Alligator mississippiensis: one gene and its partners. The protein of the gene in region 1 purifies or fractionates together with the protein of each later gene. This does not show direct contact. Links are inferred from orthologs where the notes say so. Each region holds a gene or a part of one and is shown in the gene's direction. Other genes may lie near its edges.

What was found.
Region 2: the proteins of COPE (region 1) and COPB1 purify together in Homo sapiens (affinity purification with mass spectrometry; 6 studies listed by BioGRID and IntAct, with this or other methods). This does not show direct contact. The link is inferred for Alligator mississippiensis from reciprocal best matches to the Homo sapiens genes COPE and COPB1.
Region 3: the proteins of COPE (region 1) and COPZ1 purify together in Homo sapiens (affinity purification with mass spectrometry; 3 studies listed by BioGRID and IntAct, with this or other methods). This does not show direct contact. The link is inferred for Alligator mississippiensis from reciprocal best matches to the Homo sapiens genes COPE and COPZ1.
Region 4: the proteins of COPE (region 1) and SACM1L purify together in Homo sapiens (affinity purification with mass spectrometry; 4 studies listed by BioGRID and IntAct, with this or other methods). This does not show direct contact. The link is inferred for Alligator mississippiensis from reciprocal best matches to the Homo sapiens genes COPE and SACM1L.

What each region holds. Positions count from the first base shown.
Region 1 is NC_081839.1:1,337,383-1,344,728, reverse strand, and holds the start of COPE (coatomer subunit epsilon), read left to right. Parts: upstream 1-4,337; 5' UTR 4,338-4,352; coding exon 4,353-4,481; intron 4,482-4,701; coding exon 4,702-4,764; intron 4,765-6,383; coding exon 6,384-6,484; intron 6,485-7,346. Other genes in the region: probable ATP-dependent RNA helicase DDX49, read right to left, coding at 164-261, 803-879, 1,286-1,361, 2,006-2,146, 2,307-2,494, 2,682-2,803, 3,283-3,368, 3,834-3,957 and 1 more. UniProt on the Homo sapiens protein: The coatomer is a cytosolic protein complex that binds to dilysine motifs and reversibly associates with Golgi non-clathrin-coated vesicles, which further mediate biosynthetic protein transport from the ER, via the Golgi up to the trans Golgi network.
Region 2 is NC_081825.1:195,520,860-195,527,686, forward strand, and holds the start of COPB1 (coatomer subunit beta), read left to right. Parts: upstream 1-3,812; 5' UTR 3,813-4,088; intron 4,089-6,827. UniProt on the Homo sapiens protein: The coatomer is a cytosolic protein complex that binds to dilysine motifs and reversibly associates with Golgi non-clathrin-coated vesicles, which further mediate biosynthetic protein transport from the ER, via the Golgi up to the trans Golgi network.
Region 3 is NC_081838.1:7,959,344-7,967,096, reverse strand, and holds the start of COPZ1 (coatomer subunit zeta-1), read left to right. Parts: upstream 1-4,739; 5' UTR 4,740-4,807; coding exon 4,808-4,825; intron 4,826-6,606; coding exon 6,607-6,675; intron 6,676-6,981; coding exon 6,982-7,063; intron 7,064-7,249; coding exon 7,250-7,341; intron 7,342-7,681; coding exon 7,682-7,737; intron 7,738-7,753. UniProt on the Homo sapiens protein: The coatomer is a cytosolic protein complex that binds to dilysine motifs and reversibly associates with Golgi non-clathrin-coated vesicles, which further mediate biosynthetic protein transport from the ER, via the Golgi up to the trans Golgi network.
Region 4 is NC_081828.1:137,171,868-137,179,766, forward strand, and holds the start of SACM1L (phosphatidylinositol-3-phosphatase SAC1), read left to right. Parts: upstream 1-4,891; 5' UTR 4,892-4,992; coding exon 4,993-5,027; intron 5,028-7,899.

The sequences.
Region 1 (7,346 bases):
ACGGCAGGAGGCCGGAAGCTGATCTGGCACCAAAAAGATTGCCCCGCAGCCACGAGGGAGCCTCCATAAACCCAACCGGGGAACGGTTCTTCTGTACACCCGACCTAGTTTCTGTGCAGAGCTGCCACTGCCTGTGAGCCTCTTGCGAGCTTCCCTCGCTCACCTGCTCGGGCTGTACGGCCCACACGGTGGATGTAGATCTTGGGCAGGCCTGGGGTGTTGTGGTTGATGACGACTTGCACAGTGGGAATATCCAGCCCCCTGGAGCACAAGCACAGGGGTGGTGTGGCAGCAGTTCAACACAAACACTCCCATTTCCTGTTCTCAGCTTTCACTGAGAGCCCTTGGAGACTCTGAGGCACTCACAGGCCTGCGGTTAGGAAGCAAACCGATTCTGGGCACTTACCCACCGCTTCCCACACGCCTCCAGCAACCACAAAATGGCACAGCCTGCCCCCTGCAACCTGCCTGGCACCCATTATGCTCCTCAGGTCCAGAAAGCAAACCAGCCCCTGCCACAAGCCAATCTGCCTCCCAGCAAACTGGCAGGCTTGAGTACTCCACAGCAGGAGCTGAGTGAAGGATCCAGCTGCCCCAGCTACATGAAGAGCTCCACAACATGCCCTGAACCTGGACTGTGCTACAATGGGGAGTTCTGCACTGGACAAGGAAGGGAGAGGCAGGACCCCAAAAAACTGTCCACTTGCCAACCCTGCCCCTACTCTCTACAGTGGACCAGCTGCCTTGAGTGGAAACTCACTCAAGACTTTCAGCATCAAGGAGAAGTTTCACCTCCTCTTACCTGGCAGCCACGTCTGTGGCGATGAGGATCTTAAAAACACTGGACTTGAACCTGGCTAAGGCTGCAAAGCGCTGCTTCTGCAAAGGGAAAAGGATCCAGGTTAGGAGTGCTGTAGCCTCAGGGGCTGTGGGTAGCTCTCTCCGGCCTCATGAAAAATAGCACCTGGCTACAAGCCCACATTGGCATGTCTGGAGCTAGGCTAGCAGAGGGCAGGTGATGGCTGAGGCACCTCAGCAGAGATGGGCTTCTGAGGCTAGCTCAGGTCTGTATGCCTTCTGCTTGGCTTGGCCCCTCCCATGAGAACCAAGAAGGGAAGGGACCAGGAGTCAAAAGCCAAAGAGCTCCCAAATCCTTTGGCTCAATAGATGAGTGAGGAAAAGCCGAAGCCCCCAGTCAGCAATTCAGCAGGCCTAGCACCCATCACGATGAAGGACAACAGCAGTCCCAGCGCTCCCCACAGCTCACCCCCACCAAGTCACTCACCTGCTTCATCATGGAATGCAAAGCCACCGACGGGAAGTTGAACTTCTTCAGCATCATGTTCAAGATCTGACAATCCCTGAAGGAGGAAGTATTTCCCCATTATATTCACAGCCCTCGTGGGAGTGGGTGAACCAGGGCACAACCAGGTAGTGTCCCGATCCTCTTGTTCTCCAAGCACCAAAGCAGTGCTTGACCAGCAGCACCTTGGCTGGGCGAGCAGGCAGGATGCCTGCTCCACGGTTAGCATGAACTCTCCTCCCGTGGACACTGGCTGTTCTTGGGGGTCAGCGAATGCTGGCCAGGGCCCTTGGGAAAGGTCAGCTTTTGGAAGAGCACTACAGGCTTTTCCAGTCCACCGAGACACGTGGATATGGAAGGATGGAAATTGGGATTAACTTCATGTCACACATTAAATCCCTTGCCGTTTCCTTCCCAGGGAAGAGGAGGAAGTGCTGCTTTCCCATCCCCTGCTGGCCAGGACAAAGGCAGGGCCCTGGAAGCAATTAGGCTAGGCCCCTCCATAGGGTTATATTTTTAGGTACTGCAAGGCCTGCCCTGCAGGGGCCTTCTCAGGAGGTAGGGAAGGACTTGCCTTAAATTCAACTTGGGCTAGAAAAGTGAATGCTTTTTCTGGCTTTGCTGATAACAAGAAGGAGGCTGGGGGATGAGCCCTAGCAGCCATAACATGAACTGGTGCACGGTGAGAGGCGCTGGACTCACTTGCAGGTACTGGTGAAGATCATAATGGACCAGTCCTCGTGCTCGTCCTGGAACGTCTGGATCAAATGGACCAGGTACGCGTCCTTGACTCTCTCTGGCACAAGCAGATAGCGCTGATCCAGCTCGTCTACTGTTCGCACTCTGTTTTGGGGGTGGGGAGAAAAGGCCCCACGGGCGTTATTTCGAGATGCCACAATGGGTCGAATTTGGGGCTGGAATGGCAGGGTGAAAAGAAGGGGCAACATCACAGGAGGGGGAAGCATGTGTAAACTGAACAAGAAGCAAAGCAGCAGAGACTTACTCTGCCGGAGATTCCCAGAAGAAGGGTTTGTTCATGGCAAGACTCTTCAGCTCATTAAGTGTCTCGGTCAGCGTGGCACTGAAGAGCAGCGTCTGCCTGTTTGCTGGGACTGCTCCCAGAATCACCTCGAGGTCCTTGGTGAAGTCAGTACAGCCCTGCTCCAGCAGCCGGTCAGCTTCGTCCAAAACCTTAGCCAAGGCAAACAAGGGTCAAGCCCAGCTGCGAAGAGCAGCACTGCGGGGCAGGAGGATCTGAGCTGAGCACAGGTCTGGGAGCCAGGACAGCCAGTTCTGACCTAGGGTAACGTGCCCAGGCACAGCAGGTCAAGCGGGAGAAGTTCTTGCAAGCAGGAAAGGAGCTGAACCACCGCCTTACCAAGAACTTGATCTTCTTGAGGCTGAAGGTGTTGGAGCTGCGGAGGTGATCGGCCAGCCGGCCGGGTGTTGCAATGACAACATGAGGCTTGCGGGAGAGCTCCAGCGCCTGGGCCACCATGTCTGAAACACAGCAAGGAAGCGTTTACGTTTAAAGCGTTTCCTTCGTTTCTAGCGCGACGGTGGGTCCCCTCAATGAGACATGAGCAGCCGTGCGCTGAACTTGGCTTGTGTGTAAAGAAATATTTTCAGTCAACAATAAATCACACAAACAAACTGTTTTGTTCAGACTGTTGTTTCAGTGACGAAGCAAACCAGCATCCAGATCCTAATCTGGATTAGTTCTCCCTTCTTGCTGTGGTTGTTGAAAAGGGATAGCCAGAAACCGGGCCTGGAAAACCAAGAGATGCCACGTTTTGGTGCTGAACGTGTGGTTTTACCAACATGGAGAATGCCACAGCTTCTGGACAAGCACAGATTCCCCCAAGTCGCTGTATGGTTTCAGCTCGCGGTTCCTTAAACGGCCCGGAAGCGAACCAGGCAGAGGCTCAGTTCTGCCTAACGGGCTAACCGAGTCCGGCTCGTAGCCAGCCCGCACCTACCCATTCCTCCGACAACGATGCAGTCCTTCAATCCAAGCGGCTTTCCCAGAACGCGGAACTGCTCGGCAATCTGGTAGGCCAGCTCCCTACGAGAGAGGACGAGGGAAAGCACGGAAAGGTTACGGGGCCCGTCTTCCTTACCCGCACCCAGGACCTCCAAGGACGGGGTCGCAGGGAAACCACGGCCGGAACCGGGAAGCTAAGACACAATAGATTCCCATCCCCCCCCCCCCTTTGTTCATAAAGTAATTTATCGCCGCGCAACGTCGACGAGGCCCAACACTCGGCAACGTTCAAAGCGAAACGGGATGCTCGGTTATCCCGTAACGCCAAAAACAAACCGGTTTGGGGAGGGAGGACGCTGGACTCGTGTGAGCCCTGAGTCTGATCGAGCACCGCTGAGCGCGACACGCCCCCGAGACATCAACGGATGCAAGCGTCCGCCCGCTCCCTTGCTCCTCCCGCCGGAGCAGGGAGGATGGGGCGGTTTGGGGCAAGGGGGCAGCATCCAGCCCCAAACCACTCCGAGCCCTGCCACCGAGCGCCCCTACCTGGTGGGCGTCAGCACCAGGCAGAAGATGCCGTAGGGGTCCTCCGAGAGCTTCTGCAGGACGGGCAGGACGAAGGCCGCCGTCTTGCCGCTGCCCGTCTTGGCGCAGCCCATGCAGTCGCGACCTGCGCGAGGGGACACGTGAAGCCAGGACCCGTCCAGGGACCGCTCCCCCCGCGCAGCCGCCCCCGGGAGCACTCACCCTGCAGGGCGGGCGGGATGCAGGCGGCCTGCACGGCGCTGGGGCGCACCATGCCCACGCGCCGCGCCTGCTCCGCCAGCCAGGCCGCCAGCCCCAGCGCGCCGAACGCGGCCATGCCCGCGCACAACCACCGCCCGCTTCCGGCGCACGCCGCGGACGTCACCACCCTCCCCGCCCCACTTCCGGCGCTCAGGAAGTGGCACTGCGCGCTGCCATTGGCTCGTTCCCTGTGAGGGGGGAAGACTACGGCTCCCGGCGTCCCCCGCGCGCGCGGCGGCGGCTGGGCGGCCGCTTCCGGAGACGTGTCAGGCCGGTGTCATGGCGGCGGGAGCGGCGGCGGCGGCCGGGGGGGGCTCGGCGGGGGACGCGGACGAGCTCTTCGACGTCAAGAACAGCTTCTACATCGGCGCCTTCCAGGCCGCCATCAACGAGGCGCAGCGCGTCAAGGTGCCCCCCTCCCCCCCCAGCCCCAGCGGGGAGGGGCTCAGTCCTGTCAGGCGCCCCTCCCTGCCCCCACACAGCCCCAGGGGGGAGGGGCTGAGCCTGTGAAGTGGCCCCTCCCCCCACACAGCCCCCCACCACCATGGGGGTCTGCACCCCCCCCCATGGCACTTTAGGGCCCCCCCCGCCCCGGCACTGAGGTGATTGTCGCTCCTGTCGCCCCCAGCTGTCCAGTCCGGAGCGCGAGGTGGAGCGGGACGTCTTCCTCTACCGCGCCTACATCGCCCAGGTGAGCGGGGGGGGTCGCAATTCCTGTGCCGGGGGGTGGGGGGGGCTCAATCCGACCTCGCCGGGCCTGCACCTCGCTTCACGCGCGAGCGGGGGGTCGCTCCGGTTGGAGTTGGGGGCGTCTGGTTTTGCCTGCCGAGTGCGGAGGGCACTGGGGGGCGTCGCTCCCCCGCGGGGGGGTCGTTGCCGTCCTCGGGAGCCCAAATACGCAGCCTGAGACAGACCCAGCGCCGCAGGCCCCTGGCCTGGATCCCCGCGGCAGCTCCGAGTCGTCTCCGTCGCACCTGTCCGGCCCGGTCGTCGAAACGGACGACGGCCGTTGCGGCTGCGCGCGCGTCGGAGATGGGAGAAGGAGGTCCCGAAGAGCCGGCGTTGTAGGACAGCGATCCCCCCGTTCGCCTGCCCTCGCTGTGCTTCTCCCCACGTGCGGCCCCCGCCTGCGCTTGCCGGGGTTTAGCTCCAAGGTGCAGCTGACCTTTTGTTACGTGGTTCGCGTCAACGGTTAGCATAAAATCAGCATTTTGCATTCTTATTAGAGACCCTTTTCTGGAAGTACCGGGGAACCTAATCGGGCTCGGTCTGCGCTGGGGCAGCGACGCTCGAAGTCAGGCAAAGAGCCGCAGCGGTGCAGGCACCTGAAGGTGTCAAAACCAGTCCTGTGTAAAAGAAAAAGTCAATGTTTTTAGTTAATGATGGATGGCGCTGGATAGTACATGCTGTATAATTCATGGCTGCAGGAAAGATCTGTCCAGTACACGCGGTAAAACACATAAATAAATCATGTTTTCTGTGAAGAGCGATAGGTGAGACATTGCAGGGCTTCTTGTGACTCAAGTGTCTCAGTCTGAGCCTAAGTGTGTAGGAATGACGGGGGGATGGGAACGACGACCAGCCTGTTCTAGGTGATTGAAATATTGGGGGCACAGGAAAAGCCTGAGTAGGGAAGAGTGTTTTGTAAAATTCATTGCTTAATCGTGTCAGGTTGCACTCGGGAACATACTGGTTAATAGCAACTTGTGCAGTGGTGGTGATCCTGTCTTTGCTCTACCTCCCTAGCCTGCCTTAGCATCTGAGCAAGTCAGAACACGAGACACAGATTAACCCATATTGTGTTGTAGTCAACCATGTCTTTTCCTTTGTTCTAAATCAGGGGTGTCAAACTCATCTGGCCCCATAGGCTGGATAACGAGTGTGGGCTAGCCTGGCCCCACACACCAGAGCCAGTCTGGTGTGCACTGCATGCCCTGGATCGGCCCTGTGCGCAGCATGCGCCAGCCCTGGTCTGGGGCCCGGGCATGAAGCATGCGCTCTGTGAGGTGCCCACACTGGACTGGACCCGTGCGCTAGCTCTATGTGGGGCCAGTTTGTGGACTAGATTGGCCCCCTGCACACTGTATGCAGCACATGTCAGCCCCAGCATGGGGTTCACACTGCATGCGGCATGTGGGGCTGGCACGGGGTGCCCACTGCATGCAGTGCCTGTGCAATAACGGTCTGACATGGGCATCATGTGGAGCATGCACCCTGGCACACTGGTTCAGCCTGAGGCCCATGGGCCATATCTTCAACACCTGTGTCCCGCATAACATTTTACAGACTCTTTCCCTTTCATCTCAACAGAGAAAATACGGTGTTGTGCTAGATGAAATCAGAGCCAATGCTTGCCCTGAACTCCAGGCAGTGAAAATGTTTGCAGAATATCTTTCAAGTGAGAGTCAGAGGTAAGTCAGGCACTGTTGCAGCCATCTGGTTTCTAGGGGAAGAACTAATTTCAATAATGGGAGCATAGCCCTGGTCACTGCTGTATGTGGCTCTGGTCCTGTAATGAAATATGGCTGGGTGCAATCCTTTTATGGCATGTAGCCTTGTTTGAAATTACGTAGGGTCATGGCCTGTGTTGATGCTCTTTTTCTAATGCTCCAAATTCAGCAGATCAGAATATCGTTGCCCTGAAACTGATTTATGCAGGATAAAAACAAGTATTGAAGTTTGTTGGTGTGTTGAACAATGTATTCCTTAGCATATTAACAAAAGATTGATGCGCACTTTTAACAATCCACAGCCAGGTATCCACTTGTGTTTTCGGTGGCAATGCACACTAAAATACTCTCAAACTTCAAGTCATAACAGCAGACTCGAGCAATTCTTGTTTCGGCAGTTCCTGCTGGTTGATGCAATTAGTTATCTGTCTGTCCTTCTAACTTCTGCTTGCTGAACTGAGATTTTAAAAGTGCACAGCTCAATTTAATTGGTATTAGAAGAAGACTATCTGCATGTCTGTCGCTACTTTTCAATAGCTGATTTCAGGCACTTCGGGTATATTGCTGAAAGCTTACTAATTTGAACTAGAACTGTTCAGCTTTGCTATATTGTTGGTCCTGTTTAGTAAAACTCCCTTGGTTTATTTTTGAGTGCTGGGGGCAGGAAAAACACTCCTCTTTCCTCACTGTTGGTTTACTTAGTCCAAATCATTTTAAAACGCTTAATTTAAAGAATCCCATGGAGTCTTTCTGCTGAGGTCATTGTTTCTGGCTTGTTTTGGCAAGTCAGTGACGTATTCCCTAACCCTTATTCTCTTCTCCC
Region 2 (6,827 bases), on another chromosome or scaffold:
TGTGTGCTATGTATGTTGCACTGACTAAAGAGTAGAGTTGAACTAGGAGTGGGACAAAATCTGTCTCAGTCACCCCAAAGAAATAATTCAGTGGATATGCTCTATTGGTTGCAGAATACTGCACAATTTAAAAAAGGCAACAATTTTGGGATAGTGTGAAGGAAGAATGACTGGCATTGGGAAGCTTGTCCAAAGCTCTCTCAACCAAGCAGTTGGGCCAATAAAAGATACCACCCCTTAGGAATGCTTGCTTCTTGCACAGTTCCTGGGCCATCACAACTGCAACTTCACAGTGATGTTAGCGTAAGAAGCAAGACGCTGACTCCAAATGGTGCGGCATGGTGAAGAGTCTTCACGTTTTTAGAGTGGGCACCCCCACACCCAACACAAACTGAAAGCCTTGAGAAGCAACTGTGCTGGATTACCCAGACGGTCAGCAGGCCTCCAGGCATTCTAGCAGGTAGCGCTGTAGATCACAGGTGGGCACAATGCACAATACCATCACCCTGTTAACCTGTCCCCATACAGAAGATAGTTTCCAATGTCAGAATGTCTGAAAGCATGTACCAAGTTAAACATCTCTTTTGTGCCCTGTTGCTTTTGTAGCAACGAGGAACAGTGAAACTACTTTTAAAACTCAGAAAAGGAGTGAGAAATACACAATTCAGCTTACATTGATTGATGATTATTCCAGGCAGTTTCCCATCCTAAAACACATCCTAAGGCCCATGGCATACAATATGCTTGAAATGTGACTGACCAGTTAATCACATCTCAAGTTGTTACCCACTTTAATGCAATTAATGGTGTGATGAAACAAGGAATAAACCACAAAGTTTCTACATAAAAAATGTAAAAACTGGTGGTGTGCCTCCACAGTGGGGTGCCCAGATCAACTGACAGCTCACAACCCCAGGAGTACATGATGCAACCCCGTGGCTGGGAGCTGGGATCAGCTGACAGCTCACAACCCAGTGCATGATGCGCTCCTATAGCTGGGAGCCCCATCAGCTGCTACCAGCACAGGAACTAGCTACTTGCCAGAGCAGGAGGAGCCTGAGATACCTGCTGCACCTGCAAAAAAGCATGAAAGGGTCTGATTCTGGATCCCACAATCATACCTGCCATGCCTGTGTGGCCAGAGCCCAAGAGTCAAATTCACTATCATCACACTTGGTGGGAAGCTGCCTGGGGCAGATGTGAACTGCAGGTTACCTATAAAAACCTTTTTAAAATGCTTATGGTTACAAACACAATTAAAATCAGGACACGCACATGCTACTGAACTACATGACTGGGCCAAGCATAGAAAATGAGGGTTGGAAGGGACCTCGGGATCATCTAGTCTAGTGTTTCTCAAGCCGTGGGTCACAAGAATATATGAAAGGCTTGCATACAAACTATGAAAATAGATCAACAAACTTTCATAGATTCTAGAGTTGGAAGGGACCCAATGGATCATTGTGTCCGGCCCCCTACCCCTGGCAGGAAAGAGGACCAAGGTCAGACAACCCCAGCCAGGTGATTGTCAAGCCTCCTCTTGAAGCCCTCCAAGTTAGGTGACAGCACCACCTCTCTTGGAAGCCCATTCCAGACTCCGGCCACCCTTATTGTAAAAAATGTCTTCCTAATGTCTAACCTAAATCTACTCTCCACTAGTTTGCACCCATTGGGGCGCTCTGGTAAACAGCGCATCCCCAATTCCCTGTCTTCCCCTGATAAATTTATAGGCAGCCACAAGGTCACCCCTCAGCTGTCTTTTGTATAGGCTGAAGAGATCCATCTCTCTCAACCTCTCCTCGTAGGGTCTTTCACAGAGACCATTAATCATGCGGGTGGCCCTCCTCTGAACCCTTTCCAGATCCTCCGTATCCTTCTTGAAGTGTGGTGCCCAAAACTGGACACAGTACTCCAACTGCAGCCTGACTAATGCTGCATAGAGGGGAAGCATAACCTCCCTCTATCTGTTGGTCATGCATCTGCTAATACACAACAAGGTGCGACTGGCTTTGTTGATGACCTCATTGCACTGCCAGCTTATGTTCATCTTATGTTCAACTATGACTCCAAGACCTCTATCAGCCTCTGAGCTGCTAAGGAGGACATCCCCCAACCTGTAGGTGTGCTGGGGATTCCTCCTTCCTAGGTGGAGTACCTTACATTTATCTTTGTTGAATTGCATCCTATTACGTTCAGCCCATTGAACTAAACTGTCCAGGTCAGCCTGTATCTGCTCCCTGCCCTCCGGTGTATTAACTTTACCACACAATTTGGTATCATCTGTGAACTCGGAAAGGGTGCTCAACACGCTCTCATCCAAATCACTGGTGAAGATATTAAATAATACTGGCCCAAGGACTGAACCCTGTGGGACCCCACTACCCACCTCCTTCCAGGTTTAAATGACCTGTCGACCACCACTCTTTGGGTGCAGTCCCTAAACCAGTTGGCCACCCATCTGACTGTGTAGGCATCCACTCCACAACCCGTTAGCTTCCCTATAAGAACAGGATGCGACACTGTGTCAAAGGCCTTCCTAAAGTCCAGGTAGATGACATCGGCCTCTGCTCCTGTGTCAAGGTAGCATGTGACCTGGTTATAAAAGGCTATAAGGTTCATCAGGCAGGATCTACCTGTGATGAACCCATGCTGGTTTCCTTTCAGCATTGTTTCTCCTGCTGGGCTTTCACAAATATGCTCTTTGATGATTTTTTCTAGTATTTTCCCCAAGGATAGAGGTAAGACTGACAGGCCTAAAGTTACCCAGCTCCTCCCTTCTCCCCTTCTTACAAATGGGCACCACGTTGGCCTTTTTCCAGTCCTCAGGGACCTGTCTGGAGCACTATGAGAGCTCAAAGAGCTGTGCCAGCAGCTCAGCAATGACACTGTTGGGGCTTGAACTTTAAACATGGATTCTCTTTTAAGGGAGAAAAATGTGGGAAACTGTGGCTTTTCCCTTGCAGACTGGCAGCGTTCCGGCCTGCCGCTCAGCGTTGGTCCTCCCATGCCCCACACACTGTGGGGCTGGGGGCAGTGGGTTGCAAGTGAGGGGCACTGGGCCGGGACTGGCCATCTATGAGTCCTGGTTCAAAAAAGGTTGAGAACCAGTGATAGTCCAAGCCTCTGCTCCAAGCAGGACATCCCCGGATTAGATCATCCCACCCAAGGCTTTGTCTAGCCAGGTCTTAGCAACCTCCAAGGATGGAGCTTCCACCAGCTCTCTGGGTAACCTGGTCCAGTGTTTTACTACCCTCCTCCTGAGAAAATTCTTCCTAATATGTAACCTAGACTTCCCTTGTTGCAACTGGAGACCATTGCTCCTTGTTCTGTCATCGCCCACCACTAAAAACAGTCCAGCTCCCTCCTCTTTGGAACCACCCTTCAGGTAGCTGAAGGCTGCTATTAAATCCCCCCTCAGTCTCCTCTTCTGCAGACTAAATGAGCCCGGCTCCCTCAGCCTCTCCTCAATACAAGGGAGCGCTCTCACACATCCCTGCCTCTCCCAAGCTGCCCCTACAGCCCCCGGCTGCCTGCTTCCCTGCCCTCTTTCCAGCCTCATGGAGCCACCCCGCATGTGCCCCGAGTGTCCTTCCAGAGGCAGAGCTCTCTCCCCAGCAGCCACCACGCAGGAGCCGCGGTGGGGGGTGGGGCGCAGGGCCTGAGCCGCCGGGCCCCGCGCTCCCCCTCCCACCCCACGCGAGGCGGCTCCGAGCAAAGACGTATATGCGCGGAACCTTGAGCCGACAGGAGACGCGCTTTTTCAACACGCAGAGCGCACGCGCCGTGCTCCCTCTTCTCCCTTTCCCCCCGCAGCGTCTGTGGGGCTCAGAACGAATGTACAGAGTGCATGCGTTATGTTCTCACTCCCTCTTTCCCCACCCGCAAGGCGTATGCATCCTCCCCCACCCCTCCCTTCTTCTCTCTTTCTCACTCCCTCCCCGTGTGCGAGGCGGAGCCGTTCTGTGCGCCGCTCGGAGGAGGCGTGTCCTGTGAGGGCCGCCGTAGGCTCGATGTGGCCCGCCCGGGGAAGGCCGTTCCACGTCAGCCGGAGCGGGCAGCGGGGCCGGGCCGGAGTCCCGCCGCGGGAGGTAGGTACCGCGCCGCAGGGACCGGGCCGGGCCGGGCCGGGCCACAGCGGCCGCCGCGTGGGGCGGCCGGGGCAGGGGTGATCTCGGCCGCCTGGGTCCCCTGGGGACTGTGGGGGCAAACGGGAGACAGCCGAGGTGTCCCGTCAGAGCCGCGGCCTGCAGGCACGCCCGACCCGCCGCGGCCTGCGGGGCTGCTTTGCAACGGGAACACCGCTGTGTTAATTTTCTGTCGGCAACAAAGAGCCGGGGAGCTCAAGGGGGCGAAAGAGTTTGGGAAACGCCGATGCAGGGTTTGAGCCACAGTGATTTGATTTTTTCCACAGATTGACCCCGGGGGTTGTACGTTTTCATAAACGTATTGTCACTTAGCAAGGGGCTGAATTGTAGAACAGTCGAGTATCTTCGGGTAGATGCGATATCTCTTGTTAGACCACCTGAATAGTTGGGAAAATGATTCTTGGCAACAGCTCATGAAAGGGGTGGAGAAAAGGGGTGTTTTTTGCTTTTTTGCTTTGTTTAAACTGGTATCAACACAAACTTTATAATGAGTTGTGTGTCCTGTGACGAAGGATGTTTATTTTGTGTCTTCCACCTGGTGGTGCAGCTCTGTAGTTCTGGGGGTAACATTTTTGGACGTGTGATATAGTTGTGTAGTGACAGGCATGTGTAAAATTAAAGAGTTCCCCATCTATGCAGGGGACTTGTTTTCAGTTTTGAAGCCAGGTAAAGGAAGAAGAATTGTTGCCCATTCACCGTTAACAGTAGAAACTGTAAGGAAATGGTTTTGTTAAATGGTAGGAGCGTAGTTCAAATAGTAGTGGTAACTCGGAAAGATGGTAACAAAGGATCTTATCAAAACTAGTGGAGGGTGCCCTAAGGCTTGCGTGACTCTCGGAGATTTAAGGATTGGAACCAGCAGCAAGACCGTTTTAAAGGCCACACAAATTATGAACGCTGCTTGCAGAACACATGAAGCTTCTCGTCAATGTGAGCACTGTACTTCCAGTTTCAAAAGTTGTAAAGTTTAAGGTGCATCCAGCAGAAATGTGGTATGTGGCACGCATCTGTGGCATCACACACCGCATGTTTAGGTATTCCCTGGACTCCTGCCTTGCAGTGTGGTGGGTTTTGTTTGACCCCAGGAGATCCTGGGGTCAAAAGAACCCACGCCAAAAAAAAGCAGGGTGGTACATGTGACAGCAGTGTGTGCCGCCCAAAACCTGATCAGCTGGAGCCACACGGGTTACTGGCCAAGCTCCCTGCTGCAGAAGTGCTGCGGTCGGAGATCCTTGATGACCCCAGGTAGGGCTGCTGGGGCCAGGATAGTTGCTGGCCCCAGCCTCTTCTACTTCATCTAGGATAACCTACTGCACACCAGAGCATGCATGGCATGGGCGTTCCTCAGGGACAAGTAGCCACAGCACAAGCTGTGCCACTGCTACTTGTCCTTGGGGAAACACACGTCTGGACACGGCCTAAGAGTTGAGCTCCTCGGGGCATGGGGTAATGCAGATGAATGACATATGCTTCTGTTGCAGATTTGGGAAGCTGTTCACACCTAATGCAGTTCAGAACCTTAAGTTCCAAGCGGAAGTAACCAAAGAAGGTCCCTTTTTCACATGTCTCTTCACCACCAAATAGTTGCATAGCAGGTTCTGATGGTTCTGTACATAGTTCTGAAAGTTAGTAGCAAATGGAGTCCAGGACCTCTTGGAGTAATGCTTGCTGCAGGTTAACTTTGGGATTGTTTTTAAAGGAGCATGGTTTGATGTGACTAGTTTCAAGCACTTATTAAAATCAACATCTTGGACATTTTATTTAAGTTAATACATGATAGGATTGGCCTAGTGGAGGGCCAGGCAGACTGCCTCCCTTGGAAAGAATGCCTTTGCTGGAGCAAACAACAGATAGTTTCAGCCTTCTCCTCTTACCATTTCCTTGCCTTCCCATGTAGAAATTGAAGATTATGAAACAGAAAACAGTATAAAGATTTTGTTCTTTGGGGAAGTGCATTAGTTCTTGCCATCTCTTAGGGAGTCTGGTCAAGAAAGGGCTTTGACTGGGAGCATACTCTGGTTCAGAGTCTTTCACATCTCACTCTTGGTGAGGGAAGCCATTTACTGCTTCCTCTCCAATTCTGTGTCCCAGGTGTGATCTGTTAAGGGAGTGCTTTTTGGTGCCCTGTATAACTTGGAAACACTGTGCCCAGGATTACTAGGTTCTGTGGACCTTTGCCTGTAAAAATGGTGGGAGGAAACTAGTTGAAATCCAAGATAAGTTAATAAAACTTAAGATATATCTACTCTGGTCTCTTCTTGTACATCTCCATATTAGAGATGAAGAAGTTAGATGCAGAAACTTAAAGCATGGTCTATGGTGGTGACTTGGGATGGAGGGTTCATACAACTGGCGAGGTGACTGAATTGTCATTTCTGAAAATGTGAAAGCAGTTGGCCTTTTTTGGTGACCTGTTATTGGACCAATGGGAGAAATGTTAGAGAAGCTATTGGGCCCGAAGTGCCCTTTCACAGGTCATTCTGTGACCAACTACAATGTATACCATTGGTCCAATAAACGAGATCACCAAAACACCTGTTGCTTCCATATTTCCTGTGTCATCGTGGCTACAATAGCACTCCAACCTACTATTACTAAAAATGGTCATAAGTAAATTGCAATTTTTTAAAGATGACATGAGTGTTTAAAACTTTTTTTTTAAGTGTAACTTTAGTGTTTTCA
Region 3 (7,753 bases), on another chromosome or scaffold:
TGGGTGCGTGTGCATGCGTGTGCATGCATGTGCATGAGCATGCACACGTATTGTGCCTATAAACAAGTGTGTGTGTGTGTGTGTGTGTGTGTGTGTGCAAACTCTGCCTGCCACAACCCCCCTCCCCTCCAGCAAGAGCCAACCCCTGATACCCCCAGAGTCGGTGGTGTGCAAGACCTGTGACCAGCACCCCCTCCCCCTGGCACACACGCACCTGCTGCCCCACGCCCCCACCCCTGCCCTGGACTCCTGGGTTCCCAGCACCCGGTGTCCCCCAGACATGCCTGGAGAGCCCCAGCCAGACCTCTCTGCACCCCGGGAGCTGAGGGGAGGGGGGCAGGGAATGGACCCAGGTGCCCGGGGGGTTGATCTGGGGCCACAACTGGAGGTGGGGGGCCTGGAGCAGCCCCTGCGCCCCGCCACCCAGCCCACGGCTCTCAGGTTCCCACACCTGCCACAGCATCGGGCAGAACAAAGTCCCCATTGAGAAGCCACAGGTCTTACCTGCTGGGGTCCCGGGGACGTGGGCACGAAGCCTGGGGGCTCAGGGCACCCCCATGGCGCAGGCGGCAGGGCCGTGGCCGTGGCAGCTGTGGCTCTGTGCCGGCCCCAGGCGGGCGGCGGTTACATAAGCCGGGGCCGCAGCCCGACGCCTCCCCTGCTTGTGGCCACACAGGCACCGGCAGCCACCCCCCTCCACCCTCCCGGCCCTACGGTGGAGGCCTCACAGCAGGGAAACGTGAGCCTGAGGGACACGCATGCCCATGCACATGACACATGATGGGCGACACACGCACGACACTTCCCCTGTGCACACACACACGGAGCACACAGTGCCCTGCGTGCACCCATGAACAGCAATGTGCGCTGCACTCGGTCAGACCCCCACAGACATGCGCACACCACACATGGGGCCACACACGTGTGCATAGGCACACAGCAACACGCACACGGGGACACTGCAACATGACGCACGGGGCCACGTGCACACGGAACAACACATGCAATGCACACTGAGGTATCTCCTTCACATGTACTCACACACATGCGTGTGCTTACTGACATGCTCTGAGCCCAGGGGGGTCAGGCCCAACACACAACGTACGTGGATGTGCACGCACGCCTGGTGCATAGCCACGCACGCCTGCTCTGGAAGGCATGTGTGACGGCACAACACAGACTCACACAAGGAGCCCCCGACAATATGGGGACGTGTGTGTGACAAGGGGACATCCGCAGAAGCGCTGCACCAATGTGCAACACACACACGCACACAGACAGGGCTCCACGCAGCGATCCACAGACACTAAAGCAGTGACATGTGTGCACACACACGTGCAAACATGCACACACATGGCACCAAGCTGGCTCCGAGACTCCTGGGCCAACTGTAGCACAAAGCTAAGTGTGTCTCCCCCCCGCCCATTGCCCCCCAGGGACTCCCCAGATCACACGTGTGTGTGTGCACATGTGTACACTGAACAGGCTGCTTGTGTGCGCCCCGGGGGCAGCATCTGGGGGTGGGGGGGTATAAGGCAGGCACTGGAGACTGCGCCGTTTATGGGAGGATCCCAAATTGGCCCCACCCCCACTGTGGGAGCCAGCCAACGAGCAGGGAAACTGAGGCATGGAGAGGGGACAGGCCAGGCCCAGGTCACGGCAGGGGACCAAGAAAGAAAACCCAGGCACCCCGGCTCCCAGCCCTACCCAGGACACCCTGCTCGCCTTTCAGAGCTGAATGCAGAACCCAGGAGTCGAGGACGGTGGTGGCCCAGTCCTGGCCCAGCCTGCTCCGTGCCTCAGTTTCTCCATGGAGGGGGGAAGGGTGGAGGCTGGCAGGGTCATGGCTTGGCACTGCCCCTCCAGCCACCCCCTGGCCCAGATTCTGGGCCTCTTGGTGCTCATGAGCATGGGCACTTGCATGCCCAGCACACTGCAGAGCTGGGGTGGAAGCCAGGCGTCCTGGCTTTGAAGAAGGGACCCCGAAGCTGGCCAGGAGGAGACCTGGGGCAGGTGGGGCCACGCCACGGCCCTTTCCCCACTCCTGCCAGCAGCAACAAAAGCCCCTTTATGGGCCTTAAAGGTACAGGCCCAGCCCCGAGTTGTGCCAGGAACACAAGCTGGAAGCAGGGTGGGCACATGCCTATGACACATCACACATGGGGAACCTGGCCTGGAGCACACCAGGAACGCCAGGGCCGCACACACCTGTAACATGCCACTCCCAGGTTACTGGCTCCTCGTGCACCCACAGCACACGCGACACGGGAGTGCAGCTCAGAACGTACGTGGGCACGTCAGGGCCGCACTCGTCTGCAACACACACCACACACTTAGCATGTGCGTGTCCCACGCTCCGCCTGTCTCCCGCCGGGCAAACCGGGGGTAAATCTGTGCCAGTCAACTGCAGGGGGGCACAAAACACACTAGTGGCACGTGGCCACATGTCCGCAGCTCTGGCTACGGGACCACACTGAGCTGCAACAAGACCCAGCCCCGTGCTCTGACTTATGCTGGCACTGAGAGCACATACGTATTGCATGCGCAGGCCACGCATGTGGCAGGCGACACGCGTGGGCACGGGCTCTCTTGTGCCCCCGGGGCTCCTGGGCCAGGCTCCAGCTGGTCGCCCCCCCGCCCCTTGCCCCTCGGCCGTTACTGCGGTTTCCCTCCCACCTCCGGCGTCTGGTGCCAGATGGACCATTTATAACCAGCACCCAGCGCCCCCCCGCCCGCCTGGCCATGCTGGGCCCTGGCAGGGCTGGAGGCAGGGGCTGAGCTGGGCCCCCGGCATTGCGAGCGCCCCTGGTGTTGTGTGTGGCGAAGCAGCCACCTGCCCACCTCAGAGGTGGCTGCGTTCCCAGGCCTGGGAGGCACCGATCCTGGCAGAGCTGCTCACCAGGGCACGGTGCGCGGAGGGCAGCTAGGCTGAGAGCAGAGCCCACTGTCCCGGAGCCAGGCTGTTACGGGGGGGAAGGAGGGGCTGGGCAGGCGGGGGCCGCCCGCTTATCAGCACCACGCAGCGGATCCGCCCAGCAGCTTCCTCTGCAACCGGCGGGGCCTCGGCCGCTTCCCCCGGCCCCAGCACTTCCCTGCCGAGGAACCCAGGCGTCCGGGCCCCCCCGCTCCTAACCCACTCAACCCCACTCCCTGCCCTGAGCTGGGGAAAGAAGCCAGCCCCACTGGGATAGGACCCAGGTGTCCTCCACCAAGTCCCTGCTCTACCCACTGGTCCCAGCTGCCCCCCCCAGACTCCGAGTTTCCCCCCTGGCTCGCGCCCACCCCCACAGGGTCCGGGGAGTCACACACGCGCGTGTGCACATGTGCTAGTGCCAGGTGGGGGGGCTCCAAGTGCCTCCAGATGCCTGGCAGCAGGCAGCAGATGGCAGCTCTGCCCAGGGGAGTGGGGTCACAGGGGGGCTGTTGCCCATCTACCCCCCATCCTGCCCCCTTGACTATGGCTCAGCCCAGGACGGGGCCAGGGTTGTGCAATGGGACATCCCTCCCCCCCCCCCCCCCCCGCATTGTGCAATGCAGAGGACTCGCCCCTGGAAGCCCCTCCTCCCCCGCCGCCCTGCCCCCATCCTGCCCCCACCTCGGCCTGGTGCAGCAACTTCCTCTTTCCAGGAATGTGGGTCTGCCCACGGGCATCTGCTGGCAGGCGCTGGGGCGGGCTCCGGGCAGGGGCTGGGGGGCTCTGGACAGTGTGGCCAGACCCGCCTGCCTGACCCACAAGTCGGAGGGCTGGGCTGCCCGGAGGGTGGGGGAGGGTGCAGGCCTGTGTGCATGCCCCCCTGTGCCCACGCGTGTCTCTGCGGGTGTATAACCAAGCGTGTGGGAGGGCACCTGTGTGCATGCGTATGGCAGCGCTCATGGATGCCTGTGTTTGCATGCAGGCAGCCCCCACCTCTTTGCCAGCAGCAGGAGCTGATCTGCCCATAACATGGGGGGGCAGCGGGTTGGCAGGCGTGTGAGCGGGCACGCATGTCTGAGTCTGGCATGAGTGTACATGTTGCACGTGCATGCCCATGCACAGGCGTGCACGTGCCAGGGGAGGAAAGCGGGCAGCCCGGCCCCTCCACAAGCCACAGGTGCTGGTTTGGGGGGAACATGAGTACCCGGGACAGGACACGCGTGTGCATGGCGTGTGCACGGGGTTGGGACACCTAGGTCCTGGGTCCTTCCCTGGCCCCAGCAGGGCGGGGGCAGCAGGGGACACGTCTATGCCAGAGGCAGGTCCCCCCGGATCCCAAGTCCTGAGAAGTGCTGAGTCCAGAGGTCAAGGGTCATAGGTCAACATCCCACCCCAGGATCATGACCCCAGAAAGGGCCACCAGTCAACTGCACCCCACGCTGGGGTCGTGACTCGGAGGTCAAAGGTCATAGGCCAACTCCAGCCGACCCCCGGGTCACAACCCCAATGGACCCGGCTACAGCCCACAGCCCTACTCCAGGCCAGCCGCACTTCCGGTCACGTGACGCGAGTCCTCCGCCAATCCCAGCCCAGGTCTTGCAAAGAAGATTATGTCATCGCTTCCCCAGTCGTCATAGGAACTGTCCCGCCCCTCGCGGGGAGGAGCGAGGCCCACGAGCGACAGTGGTGTCGCCCAATCCTCGTTGGGGTGGAGGGGTGGGGTCCGCCCATTCATTGAAGCGCAGCTCCCGGTTGGCTAGAAGGAGGAAGTGGGGTAGCCAGTGAACGGGGAGCGTGCGGACGGGGGCGGGGCGTAGAGCCGGGATTGGCAGGCGAGCAGCCAATGGCTTGCGGCCTGTGCTCCGGCTCCACGTCGGCAGCGGGGAGCGCAAGATGGAGGCGTTGGTGCTGGTAGGAGCGGGCTCGGCCGGGCCCTACCACCGCCGCGGGGGGGGCGGGCCGTACCATTGGGGCCGGGGTGGGCCTGCAGGACCTTACCACTGGGGGCAGGGAGGGGGGCAGTGGGCCTTGCCGTGGGGGAAAGCGGGGCTTGGGCCCTACAATTAGGGGCCAAGGAGGGGAGGATTGGGCCCTACCATTATGGGACATGGGGTGGGCTACCATTGGGGAGCAGGGAGGGGTAGCTGGGCCCTACCATTGGGAGGCAGGGGGGTCTGGGCTCTACTATTAGGGGATGGGGGGGTCTAGGCTCTACCATTGGGGGATGGGGGGAGCTGGGCCCTACCATTGTGGGGTAGAGGGATCTGGGTCCTATGGGGGGGGTAGTGCTGGGCCCTACCATTAGGAGCCAGGAGTAGGGCTGGGCCCTACCATTGGTGGATGGGGGGCTCTAAGCCCTACCATTGAAGGGGCAGGGGGGCTGGGCCCTACCATTGGGGGATGGGGGGGGGAGCTGGGCCCTACCATGGGGGGTCTGGGTCCTACCATTGGAGACGAGGTGGGGGCTGGGCCCTACCTTTAGGATACACTTAGTGGGACCCTGGTGCCGGGCGAGGCCCATGGGCATACCCCCCACCCCTATGTCAGTGCCCAGCGTAGCAAAGGCTGGGCCAGGGGGGGCGGGAGGGAGGGCAGGTTGCCGTTCACTCTGAATCCTACTGACACCTCGTGCCCTGCCGCACTGCTGACGGCTGCAGCTGCTCCTGGGCCCCGTCTCCCTCCCCCTGCAACCCGAATGGCCCGGAGCAAGCCCCGCCGGCTGCTCTGGGGTCCTGCCGGCGCCTGGTGCTGCACGGGGCGCTGTGTGCTGCAGAGCGGGCGGCCTGCTCCCGGTGCCCGGCTGCAGACGGACGGGCTGTCGGGGGTAGGGCTGGGGGTCCGAGCAGGGTGGGGGCCGGGGGGCTGCCCCGGGGGCGGCTGGTGGCCTTTGAGGCGGAGTTCTGTCATACACTCGGACTGTGCTACCTGGGGTCAGTGCATCACAGAACTTTGTCTCGAGCGCCCGGATCCGTCGGTGCCCCCGGGACCCCTGGCCCAGCCCCGGCGCCCACTGGTAGTCACCCCCGGCCCACCCTGCCCCAGGGGCCAGCACTTCAGTACACCCCCCCCCCGTGTGTGTGTTTTGCCTGGAGACCTGAGCAATGCGTGCAAGGGGGGGTTGATATTAAAGGGGACTGGGAGGGGGTGGGCAGGGGGTGACACTGCCCAGTGCAGGGCTTGGCATGGACCCACTGGCACTTGCCTCGTGTCACCCTCTGACAGCTGGTGCAGGGGTGGGGTCTGTGAAAGCCACCAGCATGGTGGGGGGGACAAATCCCCATGGGTCCCTATCCGTGCTGGGGCCAGCCAGGCATCCCATCAGGCTTTGCAGGGGGGCAGTGGGCTGGGCTGGGGGCAGCACCCACTGGCACCTCCCAGGCATCAGGTGTTGTGCCAAGCTCCATTGGGGAAGGGGGCTGGCAGCATGGGGCACCTACCCCAAGGGCTTGGTGGTGGGTGGAGCCCGGGCTTGGTTGCCTCTCGGCTCATAAGGGGGGGGGCACGTGGGACAGGTGGGTGAGAGCTGCCCTGGTGGCATCGGTGCCCTCTGTCTCTCCCCAGCGTGACGTGGCTGGTATGAGCCCCCCCGAGCCTAGTGCCGGGGCCTGGACCTGCCTGGGCAGCCCCAAGGAGATGGGGGGCACCCGCTGGGTGGGGGCAGGGCTGGCACTGATGGTGCCATGTCCCCACAGGACCCGTCGTTGTACACGGTGAAGGCCATCCTCATCCTGGACAACGACGGCGACCGGCTCTTTGCCAAGGTGAGCATGGGGCGGCTGTGCCAGGGACTGAGGGATGGTGCCCAAGGGTGGTGGAGGCTAGGGGCGCCTGTGCCGGGGAGGGACACGGGCTGCACCTAGGACCTGGCTCCTTTGCAGAGCAGAGGCTGCTGTGCCCACTTGGCGGAGGGAAGTTAAGTGCCCACGGCCTCCGCGGCAGCCCCAGCAATAGCGGGTGCTCCCGGCCCCTGGGCTCCGGCCCAAGGGCAGGTGCGGGGTGCTCCAGGGGGCCGGGCTGTGCTGGGTGGGTGCAGTGCCAGGCTGACGCCGGTGCCCCCTCTTCCCCAGTACTACGATGACACCTACCCCAGCGTCAAGGAGCAGAAGGCCTTTGAGAAGAACATCTTCAACAAGACCCACCGGACGGACAGTACGGCCTGGTGGGGGGGCACTGCCTCAAGGGTGGGATTGGGGCACTGGAGGGCACTGCCAAGCCTGGTGCCTGGCAGCAGAGGGGGTTGGGGGTGACCGGGGCCCCTGGCCTGGGCCCCACCCCCCAGGCCCAGTGCAGGGTGTCTACAAGCGGCATCTGACCCCGTTTTACCAACCCCCCCAGGCGAGATTGCGCTGCTCGAGGGCCTCACCGTGGTCTACAAGAGCAGCATAGACCTCTACTTCTATGTCATTGGCAGCTCCCACGAAAACGAGGTGAGGGCAGGGGGCGGGGCCTGGGGGCGGAGCTGGGCCAGGCAGGGGTGGGGCCTGGGGTGGGCATAGTACAGGGGCAACTATGTGGGGGACATGGAGGGGGGTCGGTCCTGGTGCTGCCCTGGTATTGGGCGTTGGACAGAGGAGGGCATCAGGGCTGGGGGGGCAACACGGGCCGGGTCTGGGTGTGGGGGCTGAGTGCGGGGCCCAACTTGGCCTGGCCTGGGGGTGGTTTCTGGGCAGGCTGGGGCGTTGTGGGGGGGCGAGCCCGCAGTCAGATGGGAGAGAGGGGGGTGTCCAGACAGTGCTGCCATGTGACCCATGTGTCTTGTGCCCACAGCTGATGCTCATGGCTGTACTGACCTGCCTCTTCGACTCGCTCAGCCAGATGCTGAGGTGGGATTCGGCAGTC
Region 4 (7,899 bases), on another chromosome or scaffold:
TCTCAGGATGGAGCTTCCACCACCTGTCTGGGTACTACCCTCCTAGTGAGAAAATTCTTCCTAATATGTAATGTAAACCTTCTTTGCTGCAACTTGAGACCACCGCTCCTTGTTCCATCATCTGCCACCGCTGAGAACAGTCTAGCTCCATCCTCTGTGGAACCACCATTCAGGGAGTTGAAGGCTGCTATTAAATCACCTCTCAGCCTTATGTTCTCTAGACTAAATAAGCCCAGTTCCCTTGGTTTTTCTTCATAAATCATGCCCCCCAGCCCCCACACCATTTTCATTGCCCTCAGCTGGACTCCAGTTGTGGGCTCACCAGTACTGAATAAAGAGGAATAATCACTTCCCTTGTGTCACAACCCAAAGTTGTGATTTTTTTTTTGTTTGTGTGCGTGCTTCGGCACCGCTAAATTATTTCCTGCCAAATTTGTCGCTTTCTTTGCACGGTAGAGCTCTCTGCTGCTAGAGAGCTCTGGTGCAACGGGGGATTTCCCGCCAAATTACAGCTTCTTTGCAGTGTGCATCTCTTTTGCATCGTAGTGATGCACGCTGTAAAGAAGTTCCCGCCATTTGTATTAGGGTCTACGCCATGTTATTGGCCGACTCCTAATTTAGGCACACGTGGCGGCTAGCGATTGGCTTGCTAGCCGTACAAAAGGCTTGTGTGCTTTCCACCCAAGCGGGAGGAGGGAGGAAGAGAGAGAGATTCTGTGTGAAGATCTCCAAGCGCTGTGGACCCTCGCGGACCCAATGCACCTCCCCTAAGCAGGCAAGAGAAGCAATAGAACCGAGCCTACGGAGCTTTCGCTTCTCACTTCTCCCCGTCACCGAGCGCAATCCCTGGATGTATCCCTTTCCTATAATTTCGGACCCCGCGGAGCCTAGCAAACTCTGGGGAAAACGTATCGGACCCGCGGAGCCTGAATAACTCTGGGGAAACTTATCGAACCCAACTTAACCGGACCCACGGAGCCTAGCAAACTCCGTGGGAGCAATAATTTTGTCAGAGTCCTCCAACGAGGGTTCAAGTGGGAGCTGTGCCTGGAAACTTATCCAGCCTACACCAATACCATCTTCGGGTGTAAGTAAACAATCTTTTCAATCAACCGTTACGCCTCCGTGACTAATTCTAACTCGCGTGCACAAGACCGTCCCGCGGTTTCTCCCACCCCGTGTGTCCGGGCTGACGGCCACAGCCCGCGTGCACCGGAGACGGGTTCGGTACAACCCCGGTTCGCCCCCAGCTTGCCCATGGCGGCCAGAATGGGATCGGAATCACCGCCGCGCATGGTGACGAGGGAGGGCTTGGGGCCCGGCCCGCACACCTTGAACTGCTGGTAGCACGCCTACCAATGCAGTCCAGTATGCGGTTAGCCATCTTGGCAACAAGTGTGCACTTTTGGCTCATATTTAGCTTATTGTCCACTGTAACCCCCAGGTCCTTTTCTGCAGAGCTGCTGCCCAGCCAGTCAGCCCTCAGCCTGTCAGCGCATGGGATTGTTCCATCCTAAGTGGAGGACTTTGCACTTCTTATTGAACCTCATGAGAGGTCTTCTGGTCTAATCTTCCAATTTGTCACGGTCTCTCTGAATCCTAGTCTTACCCCTGAGTATCTACTCCCCCCAGCTCGGTGTCATCCGTAAACTTACTGAGAGTGCACTCTATGCCATCTTCCAGGTCATTGACGAACATATTAAACAAAGCCAGCCCCAAAACCAACCCCCGGGACACTCCATTTGCTACCAGCTGCCAACTAGACATTGATTACTACCCTCTGAACCCCATGAGCCAGCCAGTTTTCTATCCACCTTACAGTCCATTCATCCATCCCATACTTCCTTAGCTTACCTGCAAGAATGTTGTGGGAGACTGTATCAAAAGCCTTGCTAAAAAATCAAGGTATATAATAACATTCCCCGATCTCCCCACATCCACAGAGCCAGTAATCTCATAGAAGACAGTCGTGTTGATCAGGCATGACTTGCCCTTGGTGAGTCTATGCTGACTTCCTAATCACCTTCTCCTCCAATGCTTAGAAATGGATTCCTTGAGGATCTGCTCCATGGTTTTTCCAGGGACTGAGATGTGGCTGACTGGTCTGTAGTCTCCTGAATCCTCCTTTTTCCCTTTCTTAAACAGGGGCAGCATGCCCTTTTCCAATCATGTGGGACCTCTCCTGCTCACCGTGAGTTTTCAAAGATGATGATCAATGGCTCTGCAATCACATTCTCCTTCCCCACAAGTTTCTCCTCCGGCTGGATTAGGAGTCAATAACAGGAAGTCTTATTACTGTGAGTGTAGACTGAAAATTAGTGAGGATTTCTGGTACTGAGGCAGCAGCTTGGGAACCACTATAGGCCACAATAATACTACCCCTCTCTAATACCCTGGCCTACCCTTAAATCCTTTCAGGACAGGCAAACTTCAGACATTATGTTGAACAACTAGGCAGGTTACTGGTTACATGTCAACGTATTTTTAATGTAACTAAAGTAGGCCTATTGTCTAGTTTAAATTGGCAGATAGTAAAGCAATTGTGGCACAAGTTAGTCCCAGTTCTGCTGTGCATTTCCTTTGTGATGCTGGGCATCCTATCCATACCCTGATTTTTTTTCAAAGGGATTGATACCAGTAAACCAGACCATCAACCAGTCGGTGTCCCAATTTCCCCACCTGCAAAAATGGGGAAAACGTTATCTTCCCTCAAAACAAAAATTGGCCTGAGACTAGACAGCTAGTTCAGACTAGATGAACCTGTTGCCCGAATTGGAATTCATTATTGTAGAGTCTTCCCAACAAACAATTACATGCAGCCTAGGAAGAACTGACAATTAAAATAAAGCAGGTCAAGTTAAAGCCACTCTGAAGGTCAGTATCATCTGTTATTAAATGTTCAAGTTCCATTTCCTCAGCCAATTCAAATATTTTTAAATGCTGCCCCTTAATTTCCTGCTCCCCGCCTCCACCCAAAGTCCTTGTAAAGATGCAAAACTAGCTGAAAATACAAGAGTTGCAATTCCAGTTCAGAAAACAGGTTCATCTAGTCTGGGATCCAGGCTGCTGTAATGGTCAGTGCCTGAAGCCTCAGTCAAGCCTGAAAACATCGCCTAATGCACTTGGTTGTTAGTGCAAAGATGTTCTTGGTCACAGTAGAGAATCCTTCCTCGGAGCAGATAACACCCTGGATCAGGGGCCTTGGTACCCTTGTGTTGTTGTGAAAAGCAGTTACATGCCAGGGTCCCAATTAAGTGCCTGTGTGCCTTTCCACTCTGACAAATGAAGGAAAGTCAGCCAGAAGGATCTGGGCCCCCTGGAGGCTGCCTTCCCTGTTCTATCTCAAAAAACAGGGTTGGGGTGGGAGAAGCCAAATCGATGGGGTTGGGCAGCACAGCGAGATGGGGACATGCCAGGGATCTGCCAGCTGCTCCTCCCTACCCCTTTCCCGACCCGTGAGGCCTACAGGAGCCCGTTGGAGGAGCTGAAGCACACCCCAAAGGAACATGGGCTGGGGATCCACTTTGTCCCACACAAACTAGGGGTGGCATCTCTGCTAAGAGGGAAATGAGAGGGGAAAGAATGGTTCAACAGCCAAACAGGGCAGTGTCACCTCATGACGCCACAATGTCCCATCCAGTGGGGCAGATATAACTGCCCACCAGCGGCGACACATAGGGGGAGGATGGGGGTGCATGTGCACCCCCTGAGAGCACTGGTGCGCTTGGGTGACGGGCAACAGGTGATCATGCTGGTGCCCCCCCCTCGAGAGCACCAGCCAGGGAGTGGGGGTGCCAGGAGAAGCACCCCTGGCACTTCCAGGTCAGCATGATCAGCCACAGGGGGAATCTTCCCTTGGTTGGTGCGATTGGCTGAGGGGGGCCCCCCGATTGCTGACTGGCTGCTGGGGGGCAAGTGCCACCCCAACTCACGAGGCACCAGTCGCTCTTGCTGCCCATAGAGGGAGATCATGGTGTAGGGCAGACACCAGGTCCCACCAGCCACATAGGCCACGATGGGGTCTTAATGACGCAGTTTAGCCATGACGCGCAGAAATTACAGCACCACCAGAGGAGCCGCATTTGCAGCATGGGGCACGGTGCAGGGAGGCCGGTGCCAGGTTGCGCCTGCCTGGGGATTGGGGTTATCATTTTAGGACAGGCAGGAGCAAGAGCAGCGGGGGTGCTACTGTGGTGGGCAAGAGCAGGGGTCACTGGACTGGTGTGGAGGGAGGCAGGGCTGGGGTGGCATGGAGCCTGGCCCAGGTGTGGGGGCATGGTGACGTGGGCAGGATGGGGCCAAGGGGCACAGTGGGCCAGAGCAAGCATGAAGGGCACGTAGGTGTGCTGTGGGCAGTGGGGCACGGCACAAGGAAGCCCTGATGGGATGGATGCATTTCATGGGGAAAATAAAAGAGGGGGGGAAGACCCGTATGCGCATGAAGGGCCGCCTGAGAGCAACAGAGCCCGTTTGGCAGCCGGGGAGAAAAGAGGAGCTCGAGCCAGCCAGGAGTCGAACCTAGAATCTTCTGATCCGTAGTCAGACGCGTTATCCATTGCGCCACTGGCCCGCCCTAAGCACAGCTTTGCCGCGCGCTCTCTTCAACCTACGCCCCGCCCGCCCAGTGCCTGCGGCAAGGGGTGGCTTCGTGGGCGGGAACACGCCGGGAGAGACCGCCAATCGCAACCCGCGCCGCCGAGGTGTCCCCGCCCACTCCCAGCCCCTGCGTAGGCGGAGCCACAAAGCTGGAGCGGGCACCGCCCCCCGCGCGCGAGCCGGTCGTGCGGCCCTCTGCTGATGCGCTCGCGGCCGGGTGGGCGGGCTACAGCCACGGGCCCAGCCAATGGCAGCGGTGCTAGACCTTCAGGGCCCACCCCCCGCCGCCATTGCCCCTATCTCCTTCCGCGGTTGTCCGGCTAGATTTGTCTCGCGCGGGCGCTTGTTGTTGAGGCCGGGACGCGGCAAGCGGGGCCGGCGGTGGCGGGGGGTGCCATGGCAGCGGCGGCGGCCTACGGGAGTCTGAAGCTGTGAGTGCCGGGCCGGGCGGTTCCCTCCCCTCGCGCCCGCTGCGGGTGGGCGATGTCGAGCGGTGGGTGCCCGGGGCGGGGCGGGGCGGCGACAGCCCCGGGGCGAGAGGCCCCGTGTCCGCCCCGCCCCTTCCCCCTCTTTCCTGCGACGTGTGTCGAGGTCCGCGCGCCTCCCCGGAGCCGAGGGGGTGGCTGCGGCCAGGGCCGGGCTCTCCCTGGGCTGCGCTGATCCTCCTGCTGGGACCAAAGCCGGAGGCTCCTGGCTCGAGGGTCTGGCCCCTGCGCTCGGGGCCAGGCCAACTCCCGGATTTGGGGTCAGGGAGGGATTTTTACCTCATGGTCAGACTGGCCCAGGCTGGGGGCTGTTTGCTCTGTAGCGGGTGTGGGGCCTGCACCCGTGGTCTCCTCAGCATGTGCCCGCAGCCTTTCTAGAAGCAGGAGGTGGGCTGCCGGGTTTCCCTGCTTGACTTGTGGCAGGTGAGGGGGCTGGGGTTGTGTCCGAGTCATAGAGGATGAGGGTTGGAAAGGGTCTCAGGAGGTCACATCTAGTCCAGGCCCTGCTCAGAGCAGGATCAACCAGCCGCAACTAGATCCTCCCAGCTAAAGCTTTGTTTAGCTGAGTCTTAAACACCTCCAAGGGTGGAGAGTGCGCCACCTCGCTGGGTAACCTGTTCCATTGCTTCGCCACCATCTTCATGAGACATTCTGCCTAATACCTAATGTAAACGTCTCTTGCTGCAACATGAGACCGTTGCTCCTTGCTCTGTCATCTTTCCCCACTGAGAACAGTCCAGCTCCATCCTCTTTCAACCCCCACTTTAGGTAATTAAAGGCTGCTACCAAATCCCCCCTCAGTCTTGTCTTCTCCAGACTAAAATAAGCCCAGTTCCCTTAGCCTCTCCTCAGAAGTCATGTCCCCCAGCCTCCAAACCTTTTATTGTGTTGGGTTAGGATTGACAGTAGTCTTAGGTAGAGTTTAGATTATGGTTTTATGGGACAGTTTGAATAGGGATGATCCTGCCCCAGGCAGGGGGTTGGACTACATGACCCCTGGAGGTCCCTTCCAGCCCTAGTCCTCTCTGACTCTGAGTTGGGGTACTTTCAAGGCCACCCACAGCCTGTCCAAAATCTCACCTTTAAGATGCTACGCTGGTTAGCACTATGGATGAAAGGGACTTGGGGGTCATGATTGACCACAAGATGAATATGAGCCTTCAATGTGATACTGCGGCTAGTATAGTAAAGCGAGCAAAATGCTGGCTTGCATCCATAGATGCTTCTCAGGCAAATCCCAGGACGTCATTCTCCCGTTGTACTTGGCCTTGGTGAGGCCACAGCTGGAGTACCGCATCCAGTTTTGGGCTCCACAATTCAAAAAGGATGTGGAGAAGCTTGAGAGAGTCCAGAGGAGAGCCCACGCTCATGATCAGAGGTCAGGAAAACAGACCTTATGACAAGAGGCTGAGAGCTATGGGGCTCCTTAGCATAGGCTTAGGGGTGATCTGATGGCCACCTGTAAGTGTATCAGGGTGTTCACCAGGATCTGGGGGAATGATTATTCACCAGAGCGCCCCAAGGGATGACCAGGTCGAACGGTTATAAACTCCTGCAAGACTGTTTCAGGCTGGACATAAGGAAGAATTTCTTCGCTATCAGAGCCCCCAAGGTCTGGAATAGCCTGCCACCGGAGGTGGTTCAAGCACCTGCATTGAACGCCTTCAAGAGAAATTTGGATGCTTATCTTGCTGGGATCCTATGACCCCAGCTGACTTCCTGCCACTGGGGCGGGGGGCTGGACTCGATCTTCCGAGGTCCATTTCAGCTCTAATGTCTATGAAATCTATGAAAGGGTTGCTTTTTCTACTGTCTGAATTGTTTCCATCTGATCAGGCTGGACTTTCCCCTGTATAGGCTGAAAAAAGCTGCCTTTCATTGTAAGGAAGGAGTTTCATTATTGTTCTTCTAAGACAGTAGTTATGTAACTATTTGGCAGACAGCAAATGCCTCACCCTTCAGTGCTGACCTCAGAGACCCATAATGGTCAGTATATTTCTTCCAGCATTGGGATAGCTTAGCTTATTTAGCAACTAAGAAGGCAAGTCTAAGAGGCCAACACAAGGAGGAAAGAAAGTAGCCTAGATATTGTGGCAAAATATTGTACAAATAAATTGTACAGATATTTAGCTGAAAGTTGGTGCAGTAAGATTTATGCAGTTAACCCTTGGAAAGGGAATAATATGAGAGGAGGAATTAAGTTCAGGTAAATCCTTCTGATGTGCAAGCAGACAGGCAGGGCTTTGTAAGGCTTGTTAATGGTACACAGACCACGGGGGACTTTATCAATAGTTATGCTTCCTAAGTAGTTTAAATATTTTTAACAGCATGGCTAATATGATAGTGATTCTCTACATTTTGTACTTCAGATACTCTTTGGAAAATGTCAGCTCACTTTCATTCATTTTTTTTATTTTTTTTTGGCTATGGAAAAATAGCCATTTTTCTGTTGCAAAGAACTGACTGCAACAGGTCAGAATAGTTAAGACTTTGGATTCCTATTGGAAATCTGTGGGTTTATCTTGTAAATTGTTTGCATGCCTAATAGTGCTAACATTATGTTGTGACACCCTTGAAAGGATCTTGGGAAGGTGCTGAGCAACCTTGGTTGAGAATCACTGATTTACTGAATAACTTCCATGGTTGTCGTTCACTGTCTGTAAGTATATTCTCCATGAAATGATTCTTTCTTCACCCCCCCCTACTGTAAAGGGTTGTGAAATGGACCAGAGTCTTGTTAACGGCCTGTAGTAGCTAAAAATTAGCCAGCAGCCGGCTTCAATGTTAGCTGGTTATGATATATAGAGAAGAGGGAGGT